4 linked regions of the Saccharomyces cerevisiae S288C genome follow. The protein of the gene in region 4 purifies or fractionates together with the protein of the main gene of each other region. This does not show direct contact. Each region holds a gene or a part of one and is shown on either strand. Other genes may lie near its edges. The genes, in order: NOP53, YGR054W, NSA2 and RPL3.

Region 1 (5,669 bases), on a different chromosome or scaffold from region 4:
GAAGGAATAGGAGACCTTTAATAAGAAGAACAAGATCTCAAATGCAATTAGACAGTGGTGCAAGAATAATGTATATTCCTGAAGTGGAATTAGTCGACCGCCAGAGTCCCGATGACAACAAATTTATGAATGCTACAGATAAAAAAAAAAGGAAAAGGATATTTATTCCACCAAAGGATAACGATGTATATGAACACGATAAGTTTCTTTTTAAAAATGTAGAACTGGAAAGAGCCAAGAATTCGCAGTTATTCTACTCAAAATTTTTAAACCAAATGAACGTCTTGTCTAAAATTTTAATTCCAACAGTTTTTGACAAAAACTTTCTTCTTTTAACTGCTCAAATTTTTTTCCTGGTGATGAGAACTTGGCTCTCTTTGTTTGTAGCCAAGCTGGATGGACAAATAGTCAAAAATATAATTGCTGGTAGAGGAAGAAGCTTTCTGTGGGACTTAGGGTGTTGGTTTTTAATTGCTGTCCCTGCTTCTTATACTAATAGTGCTATTAAGCTACTTCAAAGGAAGTTGAGTTTAAACTTTAGGGTAAATTTGACACGTTACATCCATGACATGTATTTGGATAAAAGACTAACATTTTACAAATTAATTTTTGATGCAAAGGCGTCCAATTCGGTAATCAAGAATATCGACAACTCCATTACTAATGATGTTGCAAAATTTTGCGATGCGACATGCTCCGTTTTTGCAAACATTGCAAAGCCAGTTATTGATTTAATATTCTTTTCGGTTTATTTACGTGATAATTTGGGAACTGTGGGAGTAGCAGGTATATTTGTTAATTATTTCATTACTGGGTTTATTTTGAGGAAATACACGCCACCATTAGGTAAATTGGCAGGCGAGAGATCTGCTTCAGACGGCGATTACTACAATTATCATCTAAACATGATAAATAATAGCGAAGAGATCGCATTTTACCAAGGAACAGCAGTGGAAAGGACGAAAGTTAAAGAGTTGTATGATGTGCTGATGGAAAAAATGCTGCTGGTTGATAAAGTCAAGTTTGGTTACAATATGTTGGAAGACTATGTTTTAAAATATACATGGTCCGGTTTGGGTTATGTTTTTGCCTCAATCCCTATCGTTATGTCTACCTTAGCGACAGGCATCAATTCAGAGGAAAAAAATATGAAGGAATTTATAGTCAACAAAAGGTTGATGTTGTCGCTTGCAGATGCAGGCTCGAGATTGATGCATTCGATAAAGGACATCTCACAATTGACCGGCTACACTAATAGGATATTTACTCTGCTTTCCGTCTTACACAGGGTTCACTCTCTGAACTTTAATTACGGCGCTGTTCCTTCAATCCTGTCAATACGTACAGAAGACGCTTCCAGAAATTCCAACTTATTACCCACCACGGATAATTCGCAAGATGCTATTCGTGGTACTATTCAACGCAATTTTAACGGTATTCGGTTAGAAAATATAGACGTAATCATTCCATCAGTAAGGGCGAGCGAAGGCATAAAGCTGATTAACAAGCTTACATTTCAAATTCCTTTGCATATTGACCCAATAACTTCAAAGTCCAATTCTATACAAGACTTATCGAAGGCAAATGATATAAAGTTACCATTTTTGCAGGGTTCTGGCTCCAGCCTGTTAATATTAGGGCCAAATGGTTGCGGTAAAAGTTCAATTCAACGCATTATAGCTGAAATATGGCCAGTGTATAACAAAAATGGATTATTGTCGATTCCTTCAGAAAATAATATTTTTTTTATTCCTCAGAAACCATATTTTAGTAGAGGTGGAACTTTAAGAGACCAAATTATATACCCCATGTCCTCGGATGAATTCTTTGATAGGGGGTTTAGAGATAAGGAGCTAGTACAGATATTAGTCGAAGTGAAACTAGATTATCTTTTAAAAAGAGGCGTTGGCTTAACTTACCTAGATGCCATTGCCGATTGGAAGGACTTATTAAGTGGTGGTGAAAAGCAAAGAGTAAATTTTGCTAGAATCATGTTTCATAAACCACTATACGTAGTATTAGATGAGGCTACAAACGCAATTAGTGTTGACATGGAAGACTATCTGTTCAATCTTTTAAAACGATACAGATTCAATTTCATTTCCATATCACAAAGACCCACATTAATCAAATATCATGAAATGTTACTAGAGATCGGTGAAAATCGAGATGGCAAATGGCAATTACAGGCAGTTGGTACCGATGAAGCAATCACGTCGATTGACAACGAGATTGAGGAATTGGAGAGAAAACTAGAAAGAGTAAAAGGTTGGGAAGATGAGAGGACGAAGCTACGGGAAAAGCTTGAAATTATTTGAAAACACCCTAGAAAGGGAGAGATTTTATTTAGCGAATATAATTTATATATTATTTCCGTAACTGAATTTGTACTTTTGAATGTTTAACTGATATCTAGAGATATCGACATGGGAATGCCCTCTCAAACTAGAAAAGGGCAGAGAACGAAAAGAAAATGAAACAATTTGTTACCTACTATACAGTTGTTGGTCTTGCCAACACAAATATGAACATATATATATATATCTCACTTGATGAATCCACGTATCAAGGACAACCTTTTCATGGAAACATATACTGTAAAACAAAAAACTCTATTTGAAGTCCTTATGTGTCCACTTTTCAGTGATTTTCTGCTTATACTTTCTACCTTTCCTAACGGGCACTCTTGTTTCGACCTTACCAGAACTTTGTAGTTTTCTCACAGTATCATATAGCAGATTTCCTTCAGGTTTCAGTTTTCTCAATGAGTCAGATAATTCGTCAGAAAATTTAATCTCCAATCTTTCATCAATCACAGAGTATTTCGTCCCTAACTTGTGTTTCTTATTTTTCTTGCTTTTTTTAACCTTGTTGCTATCTGACTCTATGGCTGAAAGTATCTCAGTCTCTTCAGAATTGATAACTTCTTCTAAATCTTTAACACGTTGTCTCAATTCTTTCAACTCTTGTTGCAATTTTACTTTCTCTTCATGTCTCTTTGCCTTGTTTCTTTGATATTTTGTTTTCTTTTTATTCTTCACAGGCTTATTTATTGATAGTTTTATTTCCTTATCAGATCCACTACATTGCGTACTTTCATTTTCATTTTCATTTTCTTCTTCTTCTTCTTCTTCTTCTTCGTTTGATGAAGACTCTTCCTCTTCATTGTCATCTAAAGTTTCCATTAAATGTCTAATTCTTTCTTTGTACTTTTCCAAGGCGATTCTTTCATCTTCTCTTGCCTTTTCCTCTTTATACTCTTTGTTTATCAATTCTGACCAAGCTTTATTGTTGGGATTGTAGGATTTACCAGCATGTGGAATTTCTGTGAATTCTTTTACTGCAATTGGCTCTATATCTAAAGTACTTGGTCTGACTGAAGCAGTAGACCAACTTGTCGTGGATTTTTTCAATAGTTCTTCAGGTATCTGGTCCTTTTTTTCCACATCAAGTTTGATACCGGAAGGTAATTTGACCTTCTGTTTCTTTGAATTGGATTCTTCACCCCATAAGTCGCCAGCCGTTGTTTTAACTAGACCGTCTTTGGCAACTCTATTCTTGATCTTCGATTCGCCGTGTACTCTGCCAGCCAAAGCCATTAATTTCTTTAATTCGTGTTTAGAAACACCTTGAATCTTATTAGGATTTCCACTACTATTCTTATGGTGATTTAGTGCTGCAATTTTTGAATTCGTTTTAACGGCGTCTAAAATCTCTTTACTTTTTAGAACCTTCTTAATTTGTTTCCTTTTAATTAATTTATTTTTCAATATCTCATCACCCTCAACATCAACATGAAAAAGAGCATCATTTTGCAAAGAGGTTATATCACTGGTACCATGCGTAATTTCATGATCAATTTTCTTTTCCATATATTGTTCTACGTCAGATAAATCGATATTTTTTCTCCATGCTTTCTTACCCTTTCTTGAAGACTGTTTGTATTGAGATGGTTTCTTGGTTAGATTAGTTGGAGCCATTTTTAAATAAATGATTCATTAACGTGAGGATGGTATGGATCACAAGAAAGCCGAACTAATAGCATAAGTTGTAATGTAAGGACCCCATCGCATTTTTATTGCTCTTTTCTTTTTTAGAAGTGAAAAAGCTCGGGCACGGAAAATTTTTTGATGGAATTATAGAATTTCGTCAAATATGACTGTATTCTCTCAGAGCACACCTGTTAGGTAATACGCAATATTATGATAATATTACTTTAGTACTTGGCGTTAGCCTCTTGTGTTTCATTGTTATGGAGTGATAAAACAGGCCTATGGTTCGATAAGCGTACAGATTTTGGGATATACCATAAACTTTGTATAGAAAGTGTTGTATAAGTGCATATACTCCATCGATTATGTGGTTCTACAAAATTGACATAAGAAAATTAGAGAGTTATAAAAAAGACAAAAGTGAGGATATCAACAGAGAAGATAAAATATAGTAATAGGTTGTAAATAATAACAAAACTTGCATGAAAACTTGGTAAACTTCAAATTTTAACCTTCGTATGATGATTAAAAAGGATATGACATCATGAGAAAAAAATGAGCGATCTGTCTATCAATAATTAAAGGAAGAAGTAGAAATAGATAAAGGTTTTTTCTGCTTCATCTTTAACAGCAATATAGCATATTCTTGTGGTTCGAAAGAATAAATTCTAGTCATTATAGTGAAAAGAGAACAAAACAATATAAGATTTAGGGGATGGTAAAAATGATTTCTTAGTTCCTCTAATGATTTCATATCCTTTCCTGTCACATGAAGAGAAAAAGGAAGGAAAAAGAAGAAAAGATAGATAATATATTAGTGCAACGGTAACAAGTTGTTACTTTATCGTTCTCCTTACAAAACAATTTCCTTTTCTTCGTCCCACAACTCTCTTTGGAATCTCCAATGAATGGATGAAAGATCCTCCTTCCTGTCTTCTTTGTCACCCACCAAAGTACCACTTGGAGCATTCTTCGTTGATAAATTTAGAGCAGAGGCGAGTTTTAAGAAAGTGTCATCCTTTTCAGGTACAAGGGCGCCTTCTTCGGGCGTGACAGAGTAGTCAAAATCTTTGAACCATCTTCTTTGCCAGCTAATGCCTTTAGCTTCTTCCTCTTTTCTCAATTCTCTTTGCGTTTCTTCCAATTCAGTTTTCGTTTTGGCAATTAAGTTAAAATCGCCTAATTTGATGGCACCAGCCACGTCGTACCAGGCTTTTCTACTTTCCAGTGGGTGTTGCTCCTCCAAAGGCTTGACATTCAGATGTTCAGCAGGGATTCTAGCAGCATCGTAAAATAATCGTGATTCTTCTTTCTTATTTGCCTTGATTATTTTAGAAGAGCCAGACCATTGGCCTGATATTGTGTATAATGCCTTTTCCTTGTCCTTGCTATCTTTAGAGTCTTTGTAAATTCTTGCCTTGAATGAATTCTTTTTACCAGAAAAGTAGCCTCTACCTGAAAATTCAATAACACAAAGTAGACCTGTCGAAGATTGGATATATGATTTTCCTTCCAATTCAACAAAGGGAGAAGCGACAAGAATACCTTCAATATGCAATGGAGGTGGGGTAACCAAATAACTCTCATCCTTAATATCCAACATAGTGTGACCAAATTGTTTAACAGTCAGCATTAAGGATTTAGTGAAACTGGCTTTAATTTGGTTGTAGCCTTGCA
Region 2 (6,334 bases), on a different chromosome or scaffold from region 4:
TGTATACATATAACCCAGAAATGGCAATAATGGCGCCAACTGCCCACATAATTAATGCAAGCCCCACAGACCCACATAGTGTGTAAATGGTCGAGGAAACGGCGAAAACACCGGTACCAAGCATTCTATTACAGATAAGCCCAATACACGACAAAATACCTAACTGCTTTTCACCTTGGTCCAATTCTGTAGCAAATTGCTGGCCTGCCTCAAAATCGGAGGCACCGTTGTCAGCATCCACTGTCGAGTTACTTACTTCCTTTTTTGTAGTAGAAGAAGAAAATTGATAGTTCTCCTTGTTGAAGACATTCAACTGTGACAGAAACGTTCTTCCTTCCGACATTGCTCCGCCTTTGTTTTCTCTTCTCTTGTCTTTAAAGATTTCTACAGAATGTGAAACTAATCCAAAAACAAAATATGATGAACAGCGGAAAAGTTTGTGTGAGAATCATCCTTATATATATATACTGTATGTAATCTTACATCACCATATGAAAATAACGGGCTGACTCAAGAAATTCACCGCCAAGTAGGAGGAACCACATTTGTAATGCAAGACTGTGTTATGTGTTACCATGGTGTGCAATAACTGCGAAGGTAGCACCGCTTGAGTCAACTGTGGCAGTTTATTAGATGCCACTCGAGTGTGGTGAACGGCAATTCCACAGTCTAACTTTTCAGTTGGCGCCGTGCCATCTCCTGGCTGCTAGGCCGATCTGTTATACAAAACCCTACACGGCGCCGTTTCTTTTTTTTTTTTCTTTTTCTGTGGCAAAGCGGCGACAGCGACGCTAAAAAAAACTGTGGTGGCGGATGCAGCGCCGGCTTACGGAGCCGAAGTGACACTCCATATTCATTTATTGCCTGGCGGTATCGTGGCATACATTGTAAGATGCGGCTGGTGGCAATCCGCCAAGAAGAGACGTAAAAATAAGGAAAATGCTCACTAATTATGTATGTATCAATTACTATTTGATGTTAAAAAAATATGTGGAAAAGTACAATAAAACAAGGGAAAAAAAGAAAGGGGGGAGGTTGGCGTAATTCTCCTGGGAAACAGTAAAAAACAATTCAAAGTAGTATTATTTGACGTTGTTAATATTTACACAGTTGTATGGATACATCAGTTTCTTCTAGTTTATTCATCCTTCCAACCCAACTTTTCCAAATCTTTCAACACTTTTTCTTCAGTTTGAATTTTTAGAACTTGCGTATCTTCTAGTTTGTCACCGACGGCCTGTCTTTCCTTCAAGGTTTCAATAGCCCTTAATTTCTTTAGTAAAGATCTTATTTTCTTCTCCTCTGGAGAAGTTTCTTTATTGTTTGTGGGGGCATTTGTGGAGGCAGGAGCAGATGGGGCCGGAGTAGAATCAGGTGACGTTTCACTTGACTTTTTATTGGCTCTTCTTCTCCTGTTCTTGGTGTTGGCGTCCTTGTTGGCACTCATGCCCGGAACTAGCCCTGGGATGGTCTTCTTTGCTGCACCAGGAGGAACTCCGGGGACAATACGTCCACCGCCTGTTCTTCTTGCGTGAGGTGGTTTATAAGCGCCTCCAGCTTTGGCCTTAGATCCGTTTCCATTGGAGCTTGCTTCTCTGCTTGGGTGTTGACTTATGTACTCTTGAACGCTAGAATGTATTTGCAATTCTGATTTATTGGATATTTTAGGATCAAGTGAAGATGTGGTCGAATCAGGTAGCGGTTCCCAGTTATTAATGATATGGTTCTCGAAAAATGCTTCGTCTTTGTTTTCCAAAGTTTTGTAATTACATGGTGACCTCCAGTCTACCTTCAAAAGCTCCTTGAACTCTTTAACAAATACTAAAGAGCCTGATACATGCCATATTTTAACGCCGTTATCCACTCTCAATCTTGGTGAAGTGGTAGCTGTCATGATAAATTCTCCACCCGGTGACCATTTGCAGACAGAAGTGTTGGTAGCGTCAAATTTACTCACACACTTGAATTTGTCGAGACGATCTAGGATTTCCACGGAGCCCTGTAAATTACCAAACCCGGCGATAAGAATGTAATGACCAGAGGGAGAGAAAAGCATGGTATTTTTGGCTTGTTGAGGTAATGAATGGACAACATTACCTCTTAAGTCAAAAAAGGAAATGGTTGCTGGCATGTAACCAGCGATGACACCGAATTGCCTTGAAGTTGGCGACCAAGTGAAATCGTGGACAGGTCCAGTGGTTAAAGAAACACGTACAGAGTTACCACCCAAAGTCCCGTTGACACCTTGGAAAGACAGTAAGTATAGTGTGTTTTCACCATAATATGATTTGTTTGAGGAATCAAAATCAGTAATAGCTAAACATAAAATAGCATTACCTAATGGATTCCATTTCAATTGGCAGGAATCAGCTTTAAAGAAAGTTTTGGAGGCAATTTTCTTGGTGATTTTACCTTCAGAGAGGGCCCATATGATTAATTGAGCCGGTTTACCACCCTTTTCTGGTGTGAAAGTACAAATTGTTGGATGTTCAGCTGGAGAGATTAGGTAGGTGGTGAAATGTTGGGACGTTTCATCATCAGACAAGACAGCAAACGGAGATTGGAAGTCGAAATTGTCGGCATTAGCGGAGCTTAATTTAACAATCTTCAAGTCGTGTTTAAAAAGTCTTAGCCCATAATTGTCTAATTTGGAGAATTGTAAAAACCAACCGCTTTGGGATTTGGCTTGATATTCGTAAGCAGGGACTATATCCTCCGAAACGCAATCTTTCTTAAATGGTTTATTCAAATACCAAACTTTAACGTTCTTGTGATTTGGGTCTTGTATAGACGCTCTCTCCCAAGTGCTTAAGTAGTTACCTGCTGGAGAGAAGTGTAGGTCATAGACGTCGGACAACTTCATTGTTAATAGAACGTTATCCAAACATGGACCTGTAAAAACTTTGACGTTCTCCTTCGTAGATAAAGCCAAAAATCTGCCACATGGCGATAAAACCGAGGAAATGACAGGGAAATCCTTGGAGTTTGTGTTGGATTGCTCAAAAGTTGGGTAGCTTTGGAAGAGCTCTATATCCTGAGAGGTTTTCAGGAAAAACTGAGATGACATAATGTTTAGGTGTTATTGAACCTGACTGTTTGTTGTAGTACTATGTTTTTTTATCGAGATGCAATGGATAGTTTAAACACAACACGTCTCAATCAACACTAAAGAAAGTTATGATTCGGTAATCTATAGGTTGCTTCTACCGTAAAGAATTCTCGCTATGTCTAGTCGTCTGGATAGATCGAGGAAAAGGAATCTTCATTGAATAACGTACACTGAAAATAAATCGCTATGAAGCTGAAATTTCATTGATGGACATGAAGAAAGCGAAGTGAAAAAAAGGAAGAAAAAGAAAGTATTGAGGAACATTCTGCGGTCGGGTAATAATATCGTACAGTATGACAGCGGCAATTTTTAATAATATTTCTGCTCACTAATAAAGTAAAGAATATAAAGAAAGGACCTTAATCTAAGATAGATGTTACTTTTTCATCTTGCAGTTTTAACACATAGAACCGAGTCTAAACATATTGAAATATTTCGATTTCTTTTGTACGAGTGCTATAAAAATGGGAAAGAACTAAAAAAAATAGGACACAACATTAACTGCCTGAGTTTCTTGAGGAAAATATTAAAAGAAATATTAGTTAAATAAATAGATTTGGTGAGATGTATTTCTATACACTGAAAGACATTCATACGCATCTCATGATGAGTCGAGCGCCTTGCGTTAAGAAGGCGCGTAGTTACGGTTACGAAAAAAATGAATAGAATACAATGTAGAGAGCGCCCTTAAAAGGCCCATAAAGAGGGATGACAGGTATGAGCCATAAAGCTGCAAGCCTCTACGGAAAACGATACATCACAACCAAGGAAAGATAGACAGTTTATATTCATAGATAATAGGGGGAAAGACTTATGTTACTAAAGTGTGTTTGCAGAGCCGGCATAATATCTATCAAAGGAATCTTTCCTCGATGGTACTCCAATTCTCAAAAAGTGGCCAATTTGGGGCAAATAACAGATTATTTAGTGGTTAAAGGTGTTCCCAATTTGTTACAAAAAATGTTCAAGGAGTCAGTGTTGGCGGATAACGTTGTTTTTAGACTATTTCCAACATCGCATCCATATATTCCAGTGTTACATGGAAAATCAAAATACATGGCTTCTTTGAATGCAATGCGAATGATAGTACGAAAGTTTATCTTGGGCGATGAATGTCGCTTGCATATAAGTTCAGTAAAGACTCTAACATCGACATCGCATGATGAAGAAGTTAAATCTGCTCTTCAGAGTTATAATACCATAACATGTAATGACAAATTGGTGATCAAATGGCAAAGCTGCATACCGGAAGACCATTGCAAGATTACCAAATTAGAAATTAATGACAGATTGAAAGAGGAGAAACGAGGCAATGGTGCAGGCGGTTCATTTTCAATGAGGTCGGTACCAGTCATAGACTACATTTTACATCCTACAGCCAATAATTTGAACCAAAGTGTTATCTCTGAGTACCTTGAAAATGCAGCTGAAAGGTCAATGGAAAATAAGGTCAACGAAACTCAAAATTCCAAAGAAGATGAGAAGAAGAAAAATGATGGCGACGGTAAAAGAAGTAAAAAAAAGAGATTATCCCGGCTGATTAAGGGAACATTCATATTCGAATTTAACGAAGAAAATTCGAAAATTCTGGTTCATACCATTGAAGATGTTGAACTGATCCATTACGAGAAGAAAATTGCCACTCGCGGTGCATTTGCATGTTAATACGATATACAAGAATTAGATAGCATCTTTATTTGTAAATAATAAACACACCATCATAAACATCACCATCAACCTTGCACAGGAGAAAAAAGGAATAAAAAGGATAAATTGATTATGATTATTTTTTAAAAAAATGAATATGTAATATTATTTTATGTCGATTAGGTAGTATGTAATACTGAAATTATGCCAAAGTTCCTAACTAAAATTGGATAAGCAGGGGATAAAAAGTCAGATCAAGGAAAATGAGGCGAAACTTTCAAAAGGTCTTTTTTACTTCTTATTTTCCATCTTGAATTAGGCAAGGTTTCTCAAAATTTTTCAATTGGAACTTTGCTGGTACTGTTTCCGTGTTCACAGACCACTGTTCCCAAAACAGATCAATCTTATTTTGGTACGAGAAGCAGCTGTCCATCGAGCTATCTTTGTTCCATGCAGAATCAACTTCATTGATGAAATTCTCCATCGACCTCTCTTTAGCGTTCGATACCTTTAATAAGGTATCAACCATAATCTTGCACAAATGGAAGACATCATAAATGTCGGGTAGATCTTGCCATATGTACTGCCTCGTATGCTGCAGGCTAACGTGTAGGTCTTCTTCATCATTGTAACCACAGGAGAGCCTTGGTACTACGTATTTCCTGTAAATGAATGCAAATGGATCTTTTTCAAACTCATCGAAATTTTTTAGATGCTGAACCTTCTTTGATTTGGAGACTCTAAAAAGGCAATCGCCGAACATCAGATAAAATATGGTGGCACCCAATGACCAATAGTCAGCTTGGTATGTGTTATACAATGGAGCCGATGACCGATCGAAATTCTTCTTAAAACAAGAGTTACTAACGCGGCCAGAGAAAGTTTCTGGCGCCCTGTAATTATCGGTACCAATCTGGAAGTCGTTAGATTTAGGGGATTGGATAGCGTGACCCCAGTCTGCCAACTTGATGTCACCATTTATCGTTAGCAAAATATTTTCTGGTTTGATATCACGATGAGCAATACCCAAGCTGTGAGCAAAGCTGATTGCTGAGCACAGTTGTTTGATTATCTTTTGCATATCAATTTGAATCAAAGATGGAGACGACGGGCTACCTTGACTCTTAGCAATATCTAGAAAGTCATAAAGATCACCACATTCGCAGTATTCTAGCACCATGATGTAGTACGAGTCATCCGTGTAAAAGTCGAGCATCGAACAGATGTTGGGGTGAGGATTACAAGAACTCAAAATCTTCATTACATCATACTCGTTCTTCATGTTGGCTTCTGAAGTTTTGTATTTAGGAGTAATCTTTAAAGCGACGTAGCGGTTATGTGTAGTACTCCATGCTTTATAAACTGTGCTAAATGTTCCTGATTGTATAGATCTTAGTTTTGTATACATTTTTGCTTTTTATTATTCGGTATATGCTGATAATGATGTGCTTATTTAAATGATTGCGTATACGAGTGAGAATTTGATTCGGAGGGTATGAGAGTCGATCTTGAGTCCTATGTTATATGCTTTTTGTCAGTAACGGGTTATTTAATGCTAAGAATAGTTATTATAAAAGG
Region 3 (4,952 bases), on a different chromosome or scaffold from region 4:
GACCAAAATGTTCCACAATACAAGCGTGACTTCAGACGTAAGGTTATTTATTTCAGGTCCCAGCCCGCTCTTAGAATATTGCCGGGACAATGTCATATTAAAGTACGTAGAAAGAACATTTTTGAGGATGCTTATCAAGAAATTATGAGACAAACCCCAGAAGATTTAAAGAAAAGATTAATGATCAAGTTTGATGGTGAGGAAGGTTTAGATTACGGTGGTGTTTCCAGAGAATTTTTCTTTTTATTATCACATGAGATGTTTAATCCATTTTATTGTTTGTTTGAATATTCTGCGTATGACAACTATACCATTCAAATAAATCCTAACAGTGGCATCAACCCCGAACATTTGAACTATTTCAAATTCATTGGTAGAGTTGTGGGTCTTGGTGTTTTCCATAGAAGATTTTTGGATGCATTCTTTGTAGGTGCACTTTACAAAATGATGCTACGTAAAAAAGTCGTATTGCAAGATATGGAAGGTGTTGACGCAGAGGTGTATAACTCATTAAACTGGATGCTTGAGAATAGTATAGATGGTGTCTTGGATCTGACGTTCAGTGCCGACGATGAAAGATTCGGTGAAGTTGTAACAGTGGATTTGAAGCCAGATGGGAGAAATATTGAAGTTACTGATGGTAATAAGAAAGAATATGTCGAATTATATACCCAATGGAGAATTGTTGATAGAGTTCAAGAACAATTTAAGGCATTCATGGATGGTTTTAACGAATTAATCCCCGAAGACTTAGTAACTGTGTTTGATGAGCGTGAACTAGAACTATTGATCGGTGGTATTGCGGAAATTGACATTGAAGATTGGAAGAAACACACTGATTATCGTGGTTACCAAGAGTCAGACGAGGTCATTCAATGGTTTTGGAAGTGTGTCAGTGAATGGGATAATGAACAAAGAGCCCGTTTATTGCAGTTCACCACTGGTACTTCTCGTATACCTGTCAACGGGTTTAAAGATTTGCAAGGCTCTGATGGTCCAAGAAGATTCACTATTGAAAAAGCTGGTGAAGTACAACAATTGCCAAAATCTCACACATGTTTTAACAGAGTTGATTTGCCACAATACGTTGATTATGACAGCATGAAACAGAAGCTAACATTGGCCGTGGAAGAAACCATAGGGTTTGGTCAAGAATGATTATTCCGCACCAATTTTTTTTTTATTTATGGTGTCCGTTTTCCCAACATTCTTTCTGCCTCAATCATCTTGTTTTATATTTCAGCTAACAATAGTAAAGAGAAAACTCTTTTTTGTTAATTTTATCTGAGTTGCTCATGAAATGATTAATCATTGTTGTTTTTACAGCAACATGGAAAGCAGCAAAGAAAATGCAGGAAAACGTGAAGTGCTTTTTTTGATGATTACGCAAAGTTCTTTTCAAGTTCGCCATAAGAGGAGGTTTTCCTTTTCAAAAGGAGCATGATACCAATAATTTATATTGCCTTACGCCTCTTATTTTTTATATCCTCTTTTTAGATTTTATTAATTTTTTTTTTTATTTATATACATATAATGTGCCCTGCTTTTTACAACCATACGTTTTTTGTTTTTTAATTTTCTTGCATTTTAAAACTGAATAGTGACCTGGGTATTATACTACAGTTGAAATTGCTCTCGTGAGGTACATACTTGAAACGAGCGTACTAGGCAATCCCTCTCTTGCCAGTCACCTACACACGGAGAGTATCGGTTATTTGTCGTGAGGAAAAAAGAACCGGATAATAAATTCTTGATTTGTTATATTGTACAGAGAATGACGAGAAGTAAAAAGAGAAACCCGAACAGGACAGAGCGTACATTTTTTATATACCTGTTCTTTTGTGCTTGTAGACGTATATCGTATTATTAAATTAAAAGTAAACCTAATTTGAACCATCGAGATAAAAAAAAAAAAAACGGAGCACTTTTTTGCTCATACAAGCAAAACCGCATTGACACAGCCGTCTCTGTCTGGTTCGTTTGTGACCTGAGCATACTTACCCCAGACAACTTTACCACCAGCAGTAACCATCCCCAATTCCGAAACGTTAACTTCAATAATGGTACCTTTAGTCAAAACACCTAACTGAGTGTACATTGGAGATTGTGGATTCTTCTTAACTGCCAAAATTGGCAAGAAGACAGTTACACCTAATTCCGGATGAGTGACGTTTGCCTTTTTCTGTCTCAACGCACTTGGTCTGATGATTCTTTCCATTTTAACTGGTCTTCTAGTGAAACCTTCACCCACAAAAGTGTGTTTCGTTATCATTCTCTTCCATGACTTGGATCTAGATTTACCTGTTTTAATAACTTTGAACATTTCTTCTTCACTTATACCACGAACCTTTGGTAACGGAACTGAAAACTTATCAGCTTTTTCCAACCTCTTTTGTTTGATCGATGAAGAAATAGCTTTGGCTGTGTTATTTTGTTCTCTGTCCAATAGATATGTCGGCAAAGCATCACCATCGGTATCCAATGGTTTGGATGAACCCTTGACCTTAGATTGTTCATGTGCCTTAATCTTCTTTCTCATTGATACCTTTTCAGCATATCTCTTCTTAGCAAATTGCTTACCCTTCCAACCAGTCAACTTCTGGGCCCGTTCAGAAATCTTATGAGACTCTCTTGCCTCTCTCTTACGTTTCCTTTCTTCGTGATCTAATCTTTTACCATGCTGTTTGATGTGACGCTCGATATAATCGTTTTGAGGCATTGTTTCGTTGTATATATCAGTATTGATACGAGACTGACTACTGACTAAAGATAAAAACGCCAGATACGAAAACCAAGTTCTTCTCTAACTGATACCTAATCCATTCAATTGTCTTAAAAGTGCATCTCATCGCTGTCCGGAAAATTTTTCATCGGATTGTTACTAGAACCGTTGCCGACGACATAAAATTTTTTACGCCTTTCCTGCAAGGTTGAAGAAAAGAAACCGATGAGCTATACCATTCTAAAGTGTCAAAAGAGATGAAGAAATTAAAATTGTCAACTAACACACAAATCCAAGAATGTCTGAACTTAATGCATTATTAAAAGATATCAACGGCTCGCTCACTGCGACATCAGAATCCTTGGAGAGGTTGTCTGGGATTTATAGTAATTCTGCGACCGATGAGATTCCTGAAAGTAACCAACTACATGAGCATCTATTTTACGACGCTAAGAAGCCTGCTGAGAAAGTATCGCTGCTATCCTTAAAAAATGGGAGCATGCTAGGGTACATAAATTCTCTATTGATGCTTATAGGCAATAGGCTAGACGACGAGTGCAAAGATCCTTCTGCTATGGATGCACGTGAACGCTCTATTCAACACCGTGTGGTATTAGAGCGTGGTGTTAAACCACTAGAAAAAAAGTTGGCTTACCAATTGGACAAGCTGACTAGAGCATATGTGAAAATGGAAAAGGAATATAAAGACGCTGAGAAGCGTGCACTGGAAAAATCTACCTTAGTGAATCATAGCGGCAACGACGATAGCGAAGATGATGAGTCTAGTGAGGATGAAATAGCATACAGGCCAAATACCTCTGGAATTATCAACACAAATAAAAAATCATCAGCATACAGGGTGGAGGAAACGGCTAAGCAAGAAAACGGGGAAGAAAACGATGACAATGAGACTGGCGTGTATAAACCACCAAAGATTACGGCTGTTCTACCACCGCAACAAACGCATTTTGAAGATAGATTCGATGCCAGAGAACACAAAGATCGTAGTAACAAATCGCGTATGCAAGCCATGGAAGAATATATTAGAGAGTCATCGGACCAACCGGACTGGAGTGCATCTATTGGTGCTGACATTGTGAACCATGGAAGAGGCGGTATCAAATCTTTGAGAGACACAGAGAAGGAACGTAGAGTCACTTCATTCGAAGAAGATAATTTTACCAGATTGAATATTACAAATAAAGCTGAAAAAAGGAAGCAAAAGCAACGAGAAAGAAATGCAAGGATGAACGTTATCGGTGGTGAAGATTTTGGTATATTCAGCTCAAAGAGGAAGCTGGAAGATAGCACTTCGAGACGTGGGGCCAAGAAGACTCGTTCTGCCTGGGATAGAGCTCAAAGGAGACTGTAGATACAAAAAGTTTATTTTCTTATATCCTAAAGCGTTTATAGACTTAATATTTAAAAGTTAAATATAAATGAAGGGCACTGGTATATAAGCTATTAAAAACAAGAATTTTGGCTTTCACGACATTAACGTGTGAGAGGTTTAGGCACCATTGCCTTTATGATTATTAGTCCCTCCAGAATAAACTCTACCTTTTTTTTTCTTTTTTTTTTTTATAGTCCTAAGCAGAACATGACTAAATCGCCATAAATTAACAATATAGTGGGAATAAGGCACACCAGAAGTGCCACGATATAGTATATATACAATGATAAATGAGTACGTTGCCAGAAAGGTCGCTCTAAAGGACATGCAACCATGTGCGATCTGTAGCAAACCATCCACTACCGTCCTTTACAACGCATCTGGTCCAGATTGGCTATATACATGCGAAATACATTTACAAGATAATCCACAATTTGTCATTCCCCTCTATAGTACAGAGTATAATGAAGCCGTGGCTCAATTAAAACTAGTAAAGGGGAAAATGGATAGTCTGACATCAGCTCAAACCCAATTAGGGTCCTGGGATGGTTGGGTTACTAAAATATTCTCCAAGAAAGAAAAGGAGACAAATAACTCTAAAGACCCTGATCCAACTACAACCGACTCTACTGATACATCTCCACAGGCTAAGAACGATGCAGAAATCTTGTCAGAAACAAAGAAACAGTACAGCAAAATACTTGACAAAGTTACAGAACTGCAAAGGAAAAACAGAAAATACGAACTAGCAAAAATCATGTTTGAAAGCAGACTCCTAAGAAAAAGAACAGAACAAGTAAATCGCGAACGATACCTCAAGGAGCAAGAGAATTACTC
Region 4 (5,492 bases):
AAATTTATAGAGAGTTGAAAATTCTGACCAATCTAACAGGCGGCCCCAATGTTGTTGGCCTTTATGATATAGTACAAGACGCTGACTCCAAAATACCTGCTTTGATCTTTGAGGAAATCAAAAATGTTGATTTCAGAACTTTATATCCTACATTCAAACTTCCTGACATCCAGTATTATTTCACGCAATTATTGATTGCGTTAGACTACTGTCACTCCATGGGCATAATGCACAGAGACGTAAAGCCTCAGAATGTCATGATTGATCCTACGGAACGTAAACTAAGGCTGATCGATTGGGGCCTGGCGGAGTTCTACCATCCAGGTGTAGATTACAACGTTCGTGTCGCTTCGCGTTACCACAAGGGACCAGAACTTTTAGTAAACTTGAACCAATATGACTACTCCCTAGACTTATGGTCAGTAGGATGCATGCTAGCAGCTATTGTCTTCAAAAAAGAACCTTTTTTCAAAGGGTCGTCTAATCCAGATCAACTGGTAAAGATTGCCACAGTACTAGGAACCAAGGAACTGTTAGGCTATTTGGGTAAGTACGGGTTGCACTTACCATCTGAATACGACAACATTATGAGAGACTTTACAAAAAAATCGTGGACACACTTTATAACCTCCGAGACCAAATTAGCTGTTCCTGAAGTGGTTGATTTAATCGACAATTTATTAAGGTATGACCATCAAGAAAGATTAACAGCAAAGGAGGCTATGGATCATAAGTTTTTCAAAACGAAGTTTGAATAATTGGACAACAATACTCTTAGCAAGGCAATTCTTTTTCCACCACTGATTTCCATTTATAAAAAGCAGGGGTTTTCCTTTTTTGTAGCTTGATATTAGAGAATATCCTTAATGTGAATATTAAATTGCAAACTCTATTTAACAACGAATGTAGATTATTATATGACCAGAAAATCACTTTATATAGATATAAGAGCCTTCCGTAATGCTATGCAAGTTTTGATGAATTATTATATTGTCGTGAGGCGTGTTCCGAGGAGTTTCGTCGCCATTGGGATAGAGATGCTCGTAATCGTACGTGTCTGGAAGTGCCTGCCGACGGTAGCGATGTCTACTCTCGTCCCAGACAATGGAATAGTTTTGGAATTGTTCTACATCATTTATTAGAACACATGATTCACGAAATCTCCCACGTTTGTCAATATCTCGCCTACGAACAGTGTCATCGAATGATATTGAACGCTGAGAGAGCCATTTACCTTTTGAGTAAAATACGCTGCCTTTTTTCAGCAATGAAGAAGCACTTCCCTCCTTTCTTACATCCAATAATTGCTTCCCTTGTTCCTTTATATTCCCCATAGGAAAGTCCGTTGGAGTAGGTTGCTCTCTTTCATGTATTCCAACCAGATCAGGTCCGTAAAGAACAGTAACGTCTATTTCTTTATTCCAGTTTATGCTTAGTGGATCAATTTTGTATTCATCTAAATTGAAGTGCTTTATGGACCACCTCCTCCATATACAATGATACAACCTAGCCATATATATGCTATAGTCAAACTCATTTTCAGAAGAGCAACTGGGTAACCTTAATAATTTATGCTTGCGCATTTTCAGCAACAAGCGCCAGGTAGTGGACACGTCCAAGCTATCATAGTTAAATTTGAAATGAAAATAATCTATGGCGGGGCGAATATAGTTGGTGGCGTTGTCTAATAGTGCTATATTTTTTTTTGTCAGCACACTGTCATCTAAACTAGTCATTTTCACTAACAAGGTAGTATATGTTAGAGTCTTGGAGATTTTCGACCTGTTCAGACTGGCCAAAAGAGTGCTAATATGAAAATGTTCCCTCTTATAATATATAACATCTGTGACAAAAATCTATTCTTCCACCTATCGCCTGCATAACATGAGGCCTTTCCTGCGGGATAGCTTTTGCTTCAGGTTCTTCTGAGGTTCTGAAAATCAATATATTTTTCCGACAATTTCTCACTATGCCTCTATCCCCCTTAAAAAGAAACACTTTCTACCCTCTTTTCTAAACTCTGCACACTAGACCGAGACAGCAAATCGGAGCCCGAGAGAAAATCCGGAGGACGGAAAAACTAGAAGTAATCTTATGCGGGGAGCATGCACCAGAACGCCCAGAAAACGTGAATGACACTACATACTTTGATACGGATGTTGGTATTTTTCCGGCTTTTTCTATTTTATCGATGCCGTGTCTGCTGCCATTACGTACAGGTAGGCAAAGGCAAACAAGAATAGCACTTTTTCACTTGCTGCTTTTTTTTGTGAATGAAGTTTATCGTATATTCTGTTAGTGCCGCTCGTATCAGCCACTTACGTTATCATTCTAAAGTAAGTATACGAAATGTGCAAACCTTAGTAGACGTTCAAGAATTGCTCGATAATTGCGAACAAACCAGCTGCTAAGCCGGGAAGTTAAGTCCTCAACACAGAAATGATGCAAACAATTTATTAAATTCAGTGGTAATGCAACAGCAAGAGGAAAGGTGGAGGGATTAACGCATTTCAGACAGCTTTATAGGGGGAAAGAAAGCACTCGCAAACTTGCTGCCTGTTCGCAGTCATTGGTTGCAAAAACTAAACTCTACTCACGCACACTGGAATGAATGGCAATATTCTTTTTTAGGTTAACCGGCCGGACAGTAATATAGTAATCGTTTTGTACGTTTTTCAAGAAGCGACGCACAACTGTTTTCCATTTTTTTTTTTTTTTTTTCAGTGATCATCGTCCATGAAAAAAATTTTTCATTTGTCTCTTTCGTGCTTCCTGGATATATAAAATACGATTTATTTAGTTGTCTTTGTCAATCCTCATCTTTCTTTACTCATTATTTCATTTCGGTTTTGTCATCTCTAGAACAACACAGTTACTACAACAATCAATCATGTCTCACAGAAAGTACGAAGCACCACGTCACGGTCATTTAGGTTTCTTGCCAAGAAAGAGAGCTGCCTCCATCAGAGCTAGAGTTAAGGCTTTTCCAAAGGATGACAGATCCAAGCCAGTTGCTCTAACTTCCTTCTTGGGTTACAAGGCTGGTATGACCACCATTGTCAGAGATTTGGACAGACCAGGTTCTAAGTTCCACAAGCGTGAAGTTGTCGAAGCTGTCACCGTTGTTGACACTCCACCAGTTGTCGTTGTTGGTGTTGTCGGTTACGTCGAAACCCCAAGAGGTTTGAGATCTTTGACCACCGTCTGGGCTGAACATTTGTCTGACGAAGTCAAGAGAAGATTCTACAAGAACTGGTACAAGTCTAAGAAGAAGGCTTTCACCAAATACTCTGCCAAGTACGCTCAAGATGGTGCTGGTATTGAAAGAGAATTGGCTAGAATCAAGAAGTACGCTTCCGTCGTCAGAGTTTTGGTCCACACTCAAATCAGAAAGACTCCATTGGCTCAAAAGAAGGCTCATTTGGCTGAAATCCAATTGAACGGTGGTTCCATCTCTGAAAAGGTTGACTGGGCTCGTGAACATTTCGAAAAGACTGTTGCTGTCGACAGCGTTTTTGAACAAAACGAAATGATTGACGCTATTGCTGTCACCAAGGGTCACGGTTTCGAAGGTGTTACCCACAGATGGGGTACTAAGAAATTGCCAAGAAAGACTCACAGAGGTCTAAGAAAGGTTGCTTGTATTGGTGCTTGGCATCCAGCCCACGTTATGTGGAGTGTTGCCAGAGCTGGTCAAAGAGGTTACCATTCCAGAACCTCCATTAACCACAAGATTTACAGAGTCGGTAAGGGTGATGATGAAGCTAACGGTGCTACCAGCTTCGACAGAACCAAGAAGACTATTACCCCAATGGGTGGTTTCGTCCACTACGGTGAAATTAAGAACGACTTCATCATGGTTAAAGGTTGTATCCCAGGTAACAGAAAGAGAATTGTTACTTTGAGAAAGTCTTTGTACACCAACACTTCTAGAAAGGCTTTGGAAGAAGTCAGCTTGAAGTGGATTGACACTGCTTCTAAGTTCGGTAAGGGTAGATTCCAAACCCCAGCTGAAAAGCATGCTTTCATGGGTACTTTGAAGAAGGACTTGTAAGAAGTTTTGTTAGAAAATAAATCATTTTTTAATTGAGCATTCTTATTCCTATTTTATTTAAATAGTTTTATGTATTGTTAGCTACATACAACAGTTTAAATCAAATTTTCTTTTTCCCAAGTCCAAAATGGAGGTTTATTTTGATGACCCGCATGCGATTATGTTTTGAAAGTATAAGACTACATACATGTACATATATTTAAACATGTAAACCCGTCCATTATATTGCTTACTTTCTTCTTTTTTGCCGTTTTGACTTGGACCTCTGGTTTGCTATTTCCTTACAATCTTTGCTACAATACCATTTGCCCTTGGGAGCTTGTTTCAGGCCTACGCAACCATAATGGAACCACTCGAAGGGACAAGCCGGATTATCACAAGCCACCATTGGCCCATAAGATACATTCCTACAGAAACAATAAACCTCCTCTTGATTATTATTACCCTCTGTTACATCACCCTGGTTAATCCCAATTGTGGGGCTAGTTATGCTCTCTTTTCTTTCCCTCGATTTAGCCTTTTTCAAGTTAATCTTTAAAAGCAGTTTTGGCTCCTTATATGCTCCTGGTTCTTCTAACGTCAACTTCGACTTGATATTCTCTAGCGAAGAGTTGAAATTTTTTGTCACTGACTTCTGTATCTCTAGTTCCTTCTTATGCTGCTTTAAGAAATGAATCTGATCATCGACCAGATCATTAATATAAGTCGCTACCAGCAACAGATCCCTACAGGCCCTTTCCATACCAGGCTCATCCTCTTCATTCTTGAATAAGTCGATTGTTTGCATCAGTCGAAGAGATCTTATTAGTTCACATGGTAAATGATCCAAAGTGCTAAGGAAACTGTACCTGATATCCGAATCCGAGTTTTCGTTGGCGAGATGTTCCATTGCTGTAGACGAAAAAAACTTCCTTGTAAAGCGGATGTGCTAGCGCATCATACATTTCAGTTCTATTAAGACTTTCACAGATGCTGTTGTGATGTTCTGTGAGCCAATCCCAAATGTTTGTATAAGGACGGAAATAAGACGGAGCGCCACGTGACTGAAGATTTTTTTTTTCTCGGATTTCTTGGTAATGGGCGGCCGGTATTTCCGGCGGCCAAAAAATGCGAGGATTTGGTTGGTGGAGAGGGTCGAGCGCCTTTACCCTGCGTAGATACTAAGGGGGCTCTTTCTAGTATATAAACAATTTGAATAATAACGAGGTTAGACGTCCAACTGGATCCATAGACTATCTAAGCTTTTAGTAGAGGCCATTCGTTTTCTTATTAATCATCGGTTTCACAATCTTTCTTTGTTAAGCAACATTTTATACATTTTTGTACTTTATCTTCAAATATTAAGGACAAGAAAGAAAAAGAAAAAGAATCCATATTCTATATTAGTGTAACACTATTTTTCTTAAATATTTTTTCCAGTACTCCCCCAGTTTGATAA

What was found.
Region 1: the proteins of RPL3 (region 4) and NOP53 purify together in Saccharomyces cerevisiae (affinity purification with mass spectrometry; 4 studies listed by BioGRID, with this or other methods). This does not show direct contact.
Region 2: the proteins of RPL3 (region 4) and YGR054W purify together in Saccharomyces cerevisiae (affinity purification with mass spectrometry; 3 studies listed by BioGRID). This does not show direct contact.
Region 3: the proteins of RPL3 (region 4) and NSA2 purify together in Saccharomyces cerevisiae (affinity purification with western blotting; 4 studies listed by BioGRID, with this or other methods). This does not show direct contact.

The regions. Positions count from the first base shown.
Region 1 is NC_001148.4:273,550-279,218, forward strand, and holds NOP53 (Nop53p), read right to left. Parts: upstream 3,981-5,669; coding exon 2,613-3,980; downstream 1-2,612. Other genes in the region: ATP-binding cassette long-chain fatty acid transporter PXA1, read left to right, coding at 1-2,318; oxysterol-binding protein KES1, read right to left, coding at 4,846-5,669. UniProt on the Saccharomyces cerevisiae protein: Late-acting factor in the nuclear maturation of 60S ribosomal subunits, which is required for normal acquisition of export competence. Required for the export of the large subunit.
Region 2 is NC_001139.9:593,426-599,759, reverse strand, and holds YGR054W (translation initiation factor 2A), read right to left. Parts: upstream 3,068-6,334; coding exon 1,139-3,067; downstream 1-1,138. Other genes in the region: MUP1 (Mup1p), read right to left, coding at 1-343; MCO32 (Mco32p), read left to right, coding at 3,923-4,774; protein kinase FMP48, read right to left, coding at 5,055-6,164. UniProt on the Saccharomyces cerevisiae protein: Functions in the early steps of protein synthesis of a small number of specific mRNAs. Acts by directing the binding of methionyl-tRNAi to 40S ribosomal subunits.
Region 3 is NC_001137.3:411,461-416,412, forward strand, and holds NSA2 (rRNA-processing protein NSA2), read right to left. Parts: upstream 2,720-4,952; coding exon 1,934-2,719; downstream 1-1,933. Other genes in the region: RSP5 (NEDD4 family E3 ubiquitin-protein ligase), read left to right, coding at 1-1,158; small subunit rRNA maturation protein LCP5, read left to right, coding at 3,021-4,094; VFA1 (Vfa1p), read left to right, coding at 4,399-4,952. UniProt on the Saccharomyces cerevisiae protein: Involved in the biogenesis of the 60S ribosomal subunit. May play a part in the quality control of pre-60S particles. Under normal, rapid growth conditions, high levels of NSA2 would allow the progression of pre-60S particles through the ITS2 processing.
Region 4 is NC_001147.6:441,796-447,287, forward strand, and holds RPL3 (60S ribosomal protein uL3 RPL3), read left to right. Parts: upstream 1-2,890; coding exon 2,891-4,054; downstream 4,055-5,492. Other genes in the region: casein kinase 2 catalytic subunit CKA2, read left to right, coding at 1-758; YOR062C (uncharacterized protein), read right to left, coding at 930-1,736; YNG1 (Yng1p), read right to left, coding at 4,284-4,943. UniProt on the Saccharomyces cerevisiae protein: Component of the ribosome, a large ribonucleoprotein complex responsible for the synthesis of proteins in the cell.